Linked DNA regions of Caenorhabditis elegans. The protein of the gene in region 1 interacts with the protein of each later gene in a pairwise test. Each region holds a gene or a part of one and is shown in the gene's direction. Other genes may lie near its edges.

Region 1 (4,579 bases):
CAAATTTTAATTTTTTTTTACTTTTTTTAGATTTTTTAAAAATTGGCATATTTTTGAAAATGTAAAAAAAAACTTTTTAATCTTTTTTTTTTTGGAAATACGATTTTATCAAAATATTTGATTTTTATTCTATTTCATTCAGTCTATATTGTTGGAAATATTTTAATTATTTCGAAAACTTTTTTTTTCCAATATTTTCTTTCTTTTCAAAAATTGGCATTTTTGATACTTTGATTTTTTCAATAATGCCAATACTTTTTAAAGTATTTTAATTTTTTCTAAATCAAAATTATAAATAAAACGTTCTTCCATCGCTACTACACAGTCACGACACTCTCAAACTGAATAAAATGAATTACTTGTAGAAATGATATCTTGTGACCGGATCATATTTTTTTGGTGCTCTTCCTGGTTCAAGTGACAACACATTCCGAGTCCAAACTTCTTTTTCCGGTCGTGAAGATTTTTGAAGCTCTGATTGTTCAGTTTCAGTGCTTAACCCCACGGAAACTGATTCAGCGATATTTTCCTCATCATCCACACTTGATCGTTCTTGTATGTCGCTGCCATCCAGTGATATTGATTTAAGAGTCTGAAAAAATATTTAAAACTTATTTTTTATAAAATAAAATGCACAAACATCTGAATCTTGACGTTCGGTTGGCTCACAGGATTCAATTTTATTATTTTTAGACTTTTTGAACATTTTCCAGCTTAATCTATGGAAAAAATCTTGAATGGAAGTCAGCATTTTTCAACAAAAAAAAAAACGAAAAAGTCAAAACCTCTGTGGCACCATTGCATGTTTCCATTGCACGATGTATGCTTCGCCACGCTCGATCGACCAGAAGGTTTCTCTCAGGATACTCGTTTGAGCTTTCATCGTCGAAATCGCTTTGTAACTCTACATTTTCGTAGATAAACCGTTTTCCTTGTCTTTCTGAAAAAAAATCACAGATTAATTGAAGAAAATCTTAAAACTTAACTCACTTCTAGAAACAATTGGGGACTGAATATTCAGATTTTCGGTTGGAAAATTTCGTTCTTGTCGTATGAATTGAGCGGCTGGATCAACTGATAATGAAGCAAATAGAGATTCATTCATAACGTCTTCATCGGCATCTGACAGACAAAGCTCTCGGTCGAGTAGATTATCAATTTCTGAAGAATACGATCTTTTATATTGGATTTAAATATTTTAGGAAAAAAAACTAACCATTCTTGAAAGTTGCAAATTGGTTTTTGTCATGTATATGGTGACCCATTTGATGAAGAATATCTTCGAGCTCGTTTTCAGTGGTAAAATTTGCCATTTTTCCTTGAAGCCAAATGCTCGATGAAGCGTGTTTTATGAACAAGGAGGAAATGACGTACACGTTAAACTACCCGTAACGTTTTGAAAATATTTTTGAGATTGTCACAATGATCTGATCAGTCACAAGATGGTGGGGTTTTTCTGTAACAACAAACAATATTGTTCGTGCAAAAAAAAAACAAATAAAAAACAAAAAAGCAAACGTGCTCTATTGAACGCCAGAAAGCGCGCCAGGTTCAAATCTTAAAAAAATAGCGCGCGCGGTGCCATTGCAAAACAGTGCGCCCAGATTGCCAAACATGACTCCGCCCATCATTCTCCTTGTTAAAAACTTTTCCGAATTTTCTAATTTTATCCCGAAAAATTAAATTTAAAATAACTTTTTTATTAAAATTCAATAATTAATGATAATGACGGGTTTTCAGGTACATGAGCGATAACCATGCTTTTGGGCGGCCGATTCAAGAAGATGGACGAGGAATTGTCGAAACTATGAGAACAGAATCCGCCGCCATTTCCAATAATTTTAATGCGGTGAATAGCGGTAAGTCTCTAAAAGCAGAAAAATTGACCAAAATTAGCTATTATTTCAGTTAACAAATCTGTTGTACAACATCTTGATGAGCTTTCACAAAGTTTCGATGAGATTTTCACTTCAACAGACCACTCCGATGTAACTCTTGTTCTCGACGATGGAACTGAATTTGCTGCCCATCGTTTGATCTTGGCTGTGAGAAGTAGCTTTTTTCGAGCTATGCTCTATACAGGTTTTCAAGAAAGCCATCAACAGCTTGTGACTCTTCAGGAAACGAATTCAGTAGCCTTCCGAGCTGTTCTTCGGTACATGTACACATCGAAAATCGATTTTGCCGGAGTGGAACTGGATATTTTGCTAGAATATCTCAGTCTGGCACATCGTTATGATTTAATTCAGCTTATGACAGCAATAAGCGAATATTTCAAGGAAATTTTGAAGAATGAGAACTTGTGTAGTATTTTCAATGCTGCATACTTCTTTCAATTCACTGATCTTATAGATTATTGCATGCAATATTCTGATAAACATGCAGATCAGCTTCTCGAAGATCCCAGCTTCAACCGATTATCAGGAGATAGTCTGAAGGAGCTTCTTGCGAGAGATTCATTTTTTGCATTAGAATTGAAGATCTTCAATGCGGTACGTTCATGGCATCAGAATAATCCAACAATGAAAGAAGCATCAAAAGTTTTGCTGGAATTGGTCAGACTTCCCCTTATAACACAAACCGAACTTCTTAATTGTGTAAGACCAACTGGGTTGGTGTCAGCTGATACTCTTCTGGATGCTATAGAAGTTCAAACACAAAGACCACACGAGATTCCATTCAGAGGATGCAAAAGTGAGTTGAATTTTATTTATTTTCTGTTTAATCTATTCCATTTTATAGGCCTCGACACGAATATAATTCCACACTATCCACACGCACAGCCATTGTCACGAGAGCTCAGCAGTCGCTACACTAATGACGAGAATATTAGTGTATTTCAAATTGATCTCGGAAAACCATTCATTATCAATACAATTATGATGGATTTTAACTGGAAAAATGAAGTTCAAGCATTTACATACCAAGTTCACGTTAGTATGGATAATCGAGTTGATGCTCATTGGAATCTAGTTGCTGATTACTCGGAATATGATTGTCGAGGAACACAAAGACTCTTCTTCACAGATTCTGTTGTGCGGTAAGTGATTGATTTTATTGTAAAATCCATTGCATTAATAGTAGAAATTCAAAAACATTTCGGCGGTTTTGGAACTAACGGGCGAAGTTTAATTGATCTATTTTTTATTCATTTTCCGAAACATTTAAAACTTTCGAAAAAAAACTACAGCGCCTATAGTAATTTTCTACAGAAAACCCGTGAAACTCGAAAATTATTCACCATAATTTGCATTTCAGGCATATTTTGATCCGAGTCAACAATTCAATGTCGTGTAAACTGGAAGGAAGTCGAATCGAAGCCATGTTCTCTACCGAAACAATGCCTGTCGAACCTGTGCACAAAGTCATAGGTATCACATTTTGCTGTGGAAATGTAATATAATTTCAATTTTCTCAGTTCCTCATCGAAACATCACAACGATAGAAAATCACGCACGGGTTGTTGAAGGAGTTTCTCGATGTCGGAATGCTCTTATCAACGGGGATTCCTCATCCTACGACTGGGATACTGGATACACGTGTCATCAAATTGGAAGTGGTCTCATCATGATTCAACTTGCTCAGCCCTACATTATATCTTCAATGCGAATTTTGTTATGGAATTGTGATGATCGATTCTACTCGTATTATGTTGCCGTATCGAAGAATCAAGACGAATGGGTTACGATTGTCGACCGCACCAATGAAGAATGTCATGGATGGCAAGAACTCATATTTGATCCTCTTCCAGTTGTGTATATTCGACTTGTTGGTACCCGGAATTCCATAAACGAAGTCTTTCACGTTGTACATCTCGAGGCTCCCTCAAACGTTCCAATTGCCATAAAATAAAACCGGGTTACAGAAATATATATAATGCATTATTTCACTTAAATGTCTGATGAAAAATAAGTTATTAAATTTATTGAATAAAAATGTTAATAATTTCTTTTGAAAAAAAACCACATACACGGACGCCACACACCGAAAATAAATTTATTTTTTTATTTTCTTTATTCTTGAAATTCTAACCGTTTTTTTCAGATTTTTGAGAGGGATGGCGAAGCGAGAACTGAGGAAAAGTCTCAAATCAGAGATAGAAAACCTATTCAAATCACCAGAACAAGCAGAACATGAATTTCAATGTAAGGGGAATAAATAAAAAAATAAATTCCAGGAAAAGAAATTAATTTCAGGTGCAACAAAAAGACGTCGATTAACAAGCTCTGAAAAACCAACCAAGTCTCCTAGTACAAGTAGTGATGATCCATCCAAGCCAAAATTAGAGTTAAGGCTGTCCCGACTAGGTGATGGCCATCGATTAGACTGCGAAAGTAATAATCCACTTTAAAATCCACAATTTTCGCATAGTTTTCCAGCTCTGGCTCAGTTTATTCACTTCAGCATATTTGGATCATCACTCCAAAAGCCCAGATGGGTCAGTCTATCCCATCATAGAAATGTCCTTCAGAACCTAGTGGTTCGTGTCAATGTGGATGACGATTTTTTCGTAAGGGATTGCATTGAAAACCTAAATCGCTGAAATCATTACAGACGACAACGAATCTAAGCTTTCTTA
Region 2 (3,450 bases), on another chromosome or scaffold:
AGCAACATATGGCCTTTCCGAGCTTTTGTCTCTGAAGGAACAAACGCATTGGTCTTGGAGCCACACTTGCAGACACAGTTGGAACTATTTCGACATTATGAAGAGGGGATACTGGTGCCATGACTCGGTCAAGATGAAAATGCCTTATTTTGGGGAGGAGGACTTTACTGACGAAGGAAACGATATTTCGAATTGTAGTTCATTTTTGGAGGGGTAATCTTTTGTTGACGTTGTGAGTGCTTCTTCATAAAAATAGCTTATATTCGCTTTCTGATTCACATTTTGCAAGACCTCGCTATTTTCATGAAACCTTTATTAGATACAAAAAATGATCAGACCAATTTATTGAACATAAGGGGAACAAAGAAAATGGCGAGGAGGATGACCATGACCAGAACCACAGCTGCAAAACGCCACAGACAACCGTCTTCGTGCTGAATTTCAATATATGGCATATTGCCAATTTTCTCTAAAGTTAAAACTAAGCTTCAAAGTTTTAATAGAAATTTGAGCTATTCAAATAATTTTCTATACATTATTTATATTTTTTTTAACTTGACTTACCAATTGAACTGCCCATAGTCTAATAGAATCCCAGCTGGTTTGTCTTCGACGATAGGCAATTGTTTGACTACGGTCAACTACGACTCGAAAATGCATTTTCTTTTGGAAAAGAGCGGGTTGAATCGAATATGGAATTAAAATCTAAATTGCATCATTCTTATACTTGTACTTGTACTCAGATTTCTCCGGATTTCCGTTTGTTGCGCGGTCCGAGAGTTTAATAATTGTAATCCAATTAAAATTTTACGTAGGTGTTAGTTTTTGTAAAAGATTGAGAACAAAGAAAAGAATTTATTATCACAACTATAAGTAATTAAACACCTAGATTTGAGAGCAAAATTTATACGCAGTCAGCAGGATTCGAACCTACGCGGACAGAGCCCAATTGATTTCTAGTCAATCTCCTTAACCACTCGGACATGACTGCTTCTCCTTTGTATTTTTCGCATGCTATTAAACATTCGGAGTATGCTGAACCTCAACTATATCTTCCGAAATTTGTCGTTTCACCTGATCGTAAACAAAATATTGGTACCACTGTGCAGTCATGTCCGAGTGGTTAAGGAGATTGACTCGAAATCAATTGGGCTCTGCCCGCGTAGGTTCGAATCCTGCTGACTGCGAATTTTTTTGTTTTTTTTTTCATTTTAAAACAGTATGTATATTGAATTTTTCAACCGATATCGGTTTCCTATTCGATAATTTTTTTGATTGAAAAAATACTGGCTCTGCAGCTCGAAAGAGTGGCTTAATATTAAACATACTTTAGGAAGTAACCTTGAAATACATTTTGTGCGAGATATTTGTGCGAGATACATTTTCCGAATTCCTATTTTGTGTGTATCTCTAATTGGGGCAAATTTCTAATAGTGAACGCGCTATTATGCATAATGATCTTTAAAAAAAGAGCGAATAAGATATAATTTCAATTCTTCTATTATACACGATATTTTCTTCTTTTTGATTATCATTATCTCTGACTATGTACAACTTATCCTTTTCTCTTTGCACCTTGCCTTTCTCTTTCTTTTCTACTCATTCAATCACTACCACTCATCACACAAACAAACTGTTCAGCATGCTGCGTCTCTTCCAAGCACTATCTTTTTGTCAATCTTTTCGGTTTTTGCGGTACAAATAGACCTGTCTAAAATTCTGTTGTTTTTTTTTTGTTTTGTGGTTTTTGATATCGATTTTTACTATGTATGAATTTTTCAGCACACCATGACAGAAGAAATAAACGACAGATACCAGATTCCAAAACACAACTTTTTCACTCCTGAAGACGCAACGACCTGGGCTGTTATTCATAGAGCACGATTTTGGGTATGATTTCTTTAACAACATATGTTTTTTTTGATTGTCACGAAAATTTCAGAACGACCGTTTTCAAGACTTGTTGGATTCTGAAAAGGTTTTAGTTTCAAAAAATGTTCCGTTCAAAGTTCTTAACGAATACAGCAGTGATCTCTCAACAAAATGTCTCAAAAAATGTGAAGCTGAAAGAAAGGAAGTAAGTTTCTGATCTGATAGCAGGGAAATCTTTTTCAACTCTGATAGCAGTTGAAAAAGTGAGATAGGCTCCAATTTAGCATGAAGTTATAATTAAATAGATAGTTGACGAAAACTCAAAGTTAAAAGAAGTGAAAGCCAAGATAACTGTAGAATATGTTAAGTAATATTTTTGATTTTTTTTTCAAAAACACTGAACAACAAATAATTAAAATGTGGAGTACTTTATGTAGAACTATTCTCTATTTAACTCTATTCAAATCTTTAAAAAATTGAATACAATATAAAATTGAGAGAGTTGTTCGTAGAAGTTTCGTAGTCACATCCCCCTTGAATGCTGTCTCCAATCTTATAAAAAAGTTTTTTTTCAGAACATTTTGCAACAAATACAGTTTTCGGAAGTCCTCCAAAGACACCAAAAACCAAACTTATTCGGAAATTCAATCGTTTCTCTGAGAATGCTAAATTCTCTAGAAATGAACGTAAGTTATGGGATAAAACCTATTGGTTAAATGAAATTCAATTTTAAACTATTTAGGAAGTGCACAAAAAGGCGTTGAAACGTGAAATGCCAAAGCTGTTGTCAAGTGAAAATGATCAAAATCTGAAACGGCGCAAAGAATGAGTCGTTGCAAATTGTTAAAACTTTTTTGTTTTTCTGTATTTTCATTGTTACCTTGTTGTTATTTTTACTCACTTTATCTTTAGTTTGCTCATAAATTGTTTGCAAATCCTACAACAGTTCTCTCAAAGTACACAATCAATACCAACTCCGTGATTTGTACCGATTTCTGTCGCAGGTTGTCAACTACTCTTATCTGTTTTCTTTTCCTGCGTGTCTTGTCTCTTATTAGACCATTTAGTTTATTATCTATTCATTTGTGTGTCAATACCTGGCCACTGACTATGCTTTCGCCGAACTTCTTTTCCTTACTGTGCATTTTTCAGGGATGGTGCTTGGAACGGTAAAAGCCAAAGCAATCAGGTGGTTGGAAGACAATAGAGGTTTAGTCATTGTGCTGTTCTGTTTACCAGCTAGCTTTGTGAGTTTTTGTTAACTTTTTCAAAATTGATACGTTAAATCACATGGAAGAACATGAAGTTTTTGAATATTTGAATTTGAATTAAAATTTCGTGGTACCTATAATTTAAAATTGAAAAAGTTTTCAAGTAGAAAAAAAACATTTTTTAATGATGAAGTAGCGTGAATGGGAATATAGCTTTAAAACACCCAAAATAGTCTGAAATTCAGAAATACCATTAAAGAACAAGTACACGAGAATTAGGAAAGAACGAAAAAACAAAATTCTAAATTTTCTATATTTTTATCTAGGGCTTCCATGAGGTAAACGGCGCCTCCGCCGGCTTCAGCGG
Region 3 (5,068 bases), about 13 Mb from region 1:
GCATTTGCCACCGGAGATGCGGAAGCTATGCCCAAATTTTCATTTTTAACTCAACAAGTTTTCCAAAAAATCGATAAAATTCAATTTTTTCAAGTATTGAGAATTGCCAGAACAATTTATATAATTATCACGAGAAGTTTCTTTTAATTTTTTTTTTTAAACTTCCGCTTCAGTGTTCATAATTAATATTAGCGTTAGTAGTATTACAATATTCTAAAAAAAAAAACAAAAAATTTTTTTTTTGAAAATATGTCTTTATTAGTCTAATGTTATATTAGCGTTAGTAACATTAATCACTTTTTTGGAAAAATTCCATTCTTTTTTTTTGAGAATATATCCTATATAGCAATGTTATATTAGAATTAGTATGGAATTTTTGAAAAATTTCCGATTTCAGTAATATAAATTTAATATAAATTAGCGTTACATTGCTAGTATGACAAATTTTCTGAACATTTTTTTTGAAATTAATTTCGTCTCTATCTAATATTAGCGTTAGTATGTAGTATTAATGATTACTTGGAAATTTTTTTTTGAGAATTTTTTGAAAATACGTCTATATTAGTTATATATTAGCGTTAGTAATATTAATTTTTTTTATTTGAAAAAATTCCATAATTTTTTCAAAAATCGTTTATTTATCTACTTGTGAGTGTTATACATATTAGCGTTAGTTAGTATTAAAATTTTCAGAAAATTTTTTTTTTTGAAAATATTTTTGTCTCTATATAATATTAGCGTTAGTAGTATTACAATATTCTAAAAAAAAACAAAAAAATTTTTTTTTTTGAAAATATGTCTTTATTAGTCTAATGTTATATTAGCGTTAGTAACATTAATCATTTTTTTGGAAAAATTCCATTTTTTTTTTGAAAATCTTTTATTTATCTAATTGTGAGTGTTATATTAGTTATATTAGCGTTAGTAATTAGTATTATTAAAAATTTCTGAAAAATTATTTTTTTAAAAATATGTTTGTCTCAATATAATATTAGCGTTAATATGTAGTAAGTAAGGATTTTTCCAAATTTTTTTTCCGATTTCATTAATATAAATTTTCTGGAAAGTTTTTGTTTGAAATTAATTTCGTCTCTATCTAATCTCTATCTAAAGTATGTAGTATTAATAAGAAAATTTTTTCGAGTTTTTTGAAAAAAACGTCATTATTAATTTAATGTTATACTAACGTTAGTAGCATTAATCATTTTTGGAAAAAATATCGTTTTTTTTTGAAAAACTATTATTTGTTAATCGAATTTGTTATTAGCGTTAACTAATGAGTATTAGTACTAGAAATATGAAAAACTTTTTTTTTCTGAATTTTTTGAAAAAAACATTTTTTAATTTTATTAATGTTGTTGATATTAGCGTTAGTAGTATTAAGAATTTCTGGAAAAAATCGATTTTTTTTAAAATTTTCTTGAAAACTTTAATGTAATATTATATTAGTGTTAGTATGTAAAATATATATTTTTTTGAAAAAAAATTTTTCTCGATTTTTTTCTCAATTTTAGTTTTTTTTTTTCAAATTGTTATATACATTATTGATTTTTTGTTGTTTTCTCTGATACATTTTTTCTGATAAATCCGTTTTTTTTAAATACATCCAATTTTTTCCCCAAATTTTTTTCTTCCTTGGTTTTTACCTGTCCTATCCTTTGGGTTTTTAACCAACCTGTCTATCTTTCTTTTTTCTAACACGCTTTTGTACTATTTTTCAGTTTTCAGGGTATTTTTTTTGGGAAAATTAAAAAAATTACAATTTTTGAAAAAAAAATTTCAAGAAATTTTTTATTTTTTATTTTTTATATTCTCCCCCAAATCAAAAATTTATGAGCATTTTCATTTCACTATACGAACACCATTTTTCCCCTATTTTTTCGCACTAAAATGCCCATTTACATAATTAATAACACCACCACCTATTGCAGTACTCACTCATGTCCACCGCCGGGACGAGAAACTGAGCTTCTTGTGCGGGAAATTTTCAACTTTTCACACATTTCTTTTTGGTTTAATTATTGGATAAAGACACAGAAGAAAGCATTCATTAAAAAAAATTGGTAAGTTTCGAAAATTAAAAAAAATTTTTTTTTTTTTTGGGAAAGTTCAAAAAAAAAATCCAAAAATTTTCTCTCATAATTTTTTTTGCAAAATTTTTTTATAATTTTCGAATTCTCCGTACCAAATAACCCCGACGCCGCGATTTTCAGCGATTTAGTGCAAAATTCCGTCAAATCAGGTGTCAAGTCCGCAAACACCAGACTACAGTAACCCAAAACACCAGATTTGACGGGAAATTGCACAAAAGGTCTGAAAATTGGGTTTTGTCTGTAATTTGACACGGAGAATTCGAATTTCATAGTTTTAAAGCGAAATGTTAGGTATGAAACTGTAAAAGTTTCGAAAATTCATCTAGAAAATAGGAAAAATCGGTTTTTGCGCACTACAAAGACCACAAACTACATAAATTTTAAGCAAAAAATCACTTGGAGTAATTGAAACGAATTTATAAGTTTTAGAGCTAAAATTCTCATTCAAAATTGTAGAAATTCAAGCATTTTTGACTTTTTTGAGCCCCAACCAAAAAATCTTGGCCAAAACTCAAATTTATCAAAATTCCCAGTGCAAAATTACCTCTATCCCGCATTTTTAGCTTTTTAGTGCATTTTTCCGTCAAATCTGGTGCCCTGGGTTACTGTAGCCTGGCTATTGCGTACCTGACGCCTGATTTGACGAAAAATTGCACTAAAATCATAAAAATTGGGGTTCGGGGTAATTTGAGACGGTGAATTCGAAATTCGTAGTTTTAAATCGAACATTTCCACCTGAAATATTGAAATTTTGAAATTTTTCCCAAAATCTAACATTTCTAGTTCAAAATCATGTCCTAAACATGAAAATTTCGAATTACGCGTGTAAATTTACCCCTATCCCCCGCTTTTTGCAGGTTTAGTGCAATATTCCGTCAAATCAGGCGCCAAGTCCGCAAACACCAGGCTACAGTAACCCAAGACACCAGATTTGACGCAAAATTGCACTAAAGCTTTAAAAATTGAGAGTACGGGGTAATTTGAGACGTAGAATCAAAAATTTTGAATGAAAACGCGAAAAAATTTAAAAAAAAAAATTTTTTTTTTTGGAAAAAATATTTATTTTTTTTTCAAAAACCTTTTAGATTCTAGCATTGTGCGTATGTGTGTGCATGGGGCTCCTAATTCGATCGAAAATATAAATTTCACACGCCAAAAACGAAGAAAACGATGGGACGCGAGGCAGGCAGCAGTCGAAGGAAAAAAAATATCAAATTTCCTATTTTTTCACCGCCTGCGTGTCTTTTTCCTCCAATTTTCCGATTCTATTATATTGCTTGAATGCTCCTTTTTCTGTGTCATTGTGCAAGTGATGCGGATGATTAATTCGAATTCGTTACGTTTTTCTGACTATGACAGCTTTTTTCACTTTTTTTTTAGAAAAAAAAATTTAGCTAAAAAAAAATTTTCAAAAAAAAAAATTTTTTTTTTTTGCTTTTTTGTGTAAAACCCCCAATTTTAAGTGTATTTCCAAAAAAAAAAAAGTTTGAAAAATTCGAGATTATCCCATTTTGACCCTAAAAACTCCAAAAATTACCTCTCTAGTACGATGCTCCGCGATTCCGCTAGGTAATTAGGTAATTAGGCAGTTTTACTGGGATTTTTATTTTTTTTTCTACTTTCTGAAAGAAAAAGTGGAGGAAACTATGTGGAAAATCAAGGTTTTTTAGAAATTTGAAAAAAAAAGTTTTCGGAATTTTTTGAAAAAAAAAAAATTTCTGAATTCACATTTTTCTGCAAAAATTCTCGATTTTTTACTCAGAAATTCGGATTTCTCGTCATTTTTCACCGCTAGCCACAAGTTTTCAGAATTTTAGCGCAGAATTCCGTCAAATCAGGTGCCAAGTCCGCAAACACCAGGCTACAGTAACCCAGGGCACCGGATTTGACGGGAAATTGCACTAGAACGCTGACAATTGCGGGATAGGGGTTATTTTGCACGGAGAATTCGATTTTTGGAATATTAAATCGAATATTTTGAACTAAAAGTGAGAAAATTGAAAATTTTCTGAAATTTACAGATTTTGAGCCCAAAATTTTGGCCCAAACTTGAAATTCTATCGAAATTGAGTTCAAATTCGAATTCCCCGTGTAAATTTACCCCATTTTTCAGCAAATTAGTGCAAAATTGCGTAAATTCTGGTGTTTTGGGTTACTGTAGCCCGGTGTTTGCGGACTTGACACCTGATTTGACGGAATTTTGCACTAAATCGCTGAAAAATAGGGGATAGCGGTAATTTGGGACGGGGAATTCGAATTTCGTAGTTTTAAATCAAAAATTTCCACCTGAAATATATAAAATTTGAAAATTTCCAAAAAATCTCTTTTCAAAATTCCGTCAAATCAAGTGCCAAGTCCGCAAACACCACGCTACAGTAAACCAAAACACCAGATTTGACGGAAAATTGCAGTAAACCTCTGCAAATTGATGGCTAGGAGTAGTTTTGCACGGGGAATTCGAATTTTGACTTAATTTTTCGAAAAATTTCAGTTTTCCACCAAAAATTTCGCAATTTTTCAGCCAAAATGCTGCCGAGAATGCTGAAAATGAAGACGGTGGGCACCGTTTTGGCAGTCATTTGGCTGTTTGGATTGGCATTCATTTATGTGCAATCTACGAGCTCAAGCTTAAGGGTGAGTTTCTTAAAAATTTGAAAAAATTGAAATTTTTGTGAAAAAAATTTCGAAAAAAAAAATTTTTTAGAAAATTTTCAAAAAAATTTTTTTTTTCAAAATTTCAAAATTCCACTAAAACACTCCAAATATGACTAAAAACTACAATTCCCATCATTTCCAGCCACCGGGACGTCATCCACCACCACTACCACAGCTCGACCCTTTAATACCCCAAAACCCGCCGCAAAACGACGAAATTCGGCCGAAAAAGAGCGCGCCGCCCATTCCAACGATAAATTTGGCAGAAGATACCACAATTCATGAGAGAACCGAAAAAGATGTCACTTGGAAGACATTCG

Evidence for each region.
Region 2: the proteins of hpo-9 (region 1) and Y7A5A.2 interact in a two-hybrid assay, tested with the Caenorhabditis elegans proteins (one large-scale study listed by BioGRID).
Region 3: the proteins of hpo-9 (region 1) and gly-4 interact in a two-hybrid assay, tested with the Caenorhabditis elegans proteins (one large-scale study listed by BioGRID).

Annotation. Positions count from the first base shown.
Region 1 is NC_003283.11:7,234,292-7,238,870, reverse strand, and holds hpo-9 (BTB/POZ domain-containing protein 9), read left to right. Parts: upstream 1-1,740; 5' UTR 1,741-1,744; coding exon 1,745-1,859; intron 1,860-1,908; coding exon 1,909-2,694; intron 2,695-2,742; coding exon 2,743-3,040; intron 3,041-3,258; coding exon 3,259-3,371; intron 3,372-3,418; coding exon 3,419-3,852; 3' UTR 3,853-3,949; downstream 3,950-4,579. Other genes in the region: Centriolar and ciliogenesis-associated protein hyls-1, read right to left, coding at 360-592, 786-940, 991-1,161, 1,217-1,313; C05C8.5 (Exonuclease domain-containing protein), read left to right, coding at 4,058-4,145, 4,197-4,334, 4,380-4,510, 4,555-4,579.
Region 2 is NC_003284.9:15,771,068-15,774,517, reverse strand, and holds Y7A5A.2 (uncharacterized protein), read left to right. Parts: upstream 1-1,782; 5' UTR 1,783-1,788; coding exon 1,789-1,890; intron 1,891-1,942; coding exon 1,943-2,077; intron 2,078-2,447; coding exon 2,448-2,558; intron 2,559-2,614; coding exon 2,615-2,701; 3' UTR 2,702-2,810; downstream 2,811-3,450. Other genes in the region: Y7A5A.13 (uncharacterized protein), read right to left, coding at 333-434, 565-660; Y7A5A.1 (Delta(24)-sterol reductase), read left to right, coding at 3,027-3,119.
Region 3 is NC_003283.11:19,892,214-19,897,281, reverse strand, and holds the start of gly-4 (Polypeptide N-acetylgalactosaminyltransferase 4), read left to right. Parts: upstream 1-1,931; 5' UTR 1,932-2,063; intron 2,064-4,614; 5' UTR 4,615-4,619; coding exon 4,620-4,727; intron 4,728-4,890; coding exon 4,891-5,068. UniProt on the Caenorhabditis elegans protein: Catalyzes the initial reaction in O-linked oligosaccharide biosynthesis, the transfer of an N-acetyl-D-galactosamine residue to a serine or threonine residue on the protein receptor.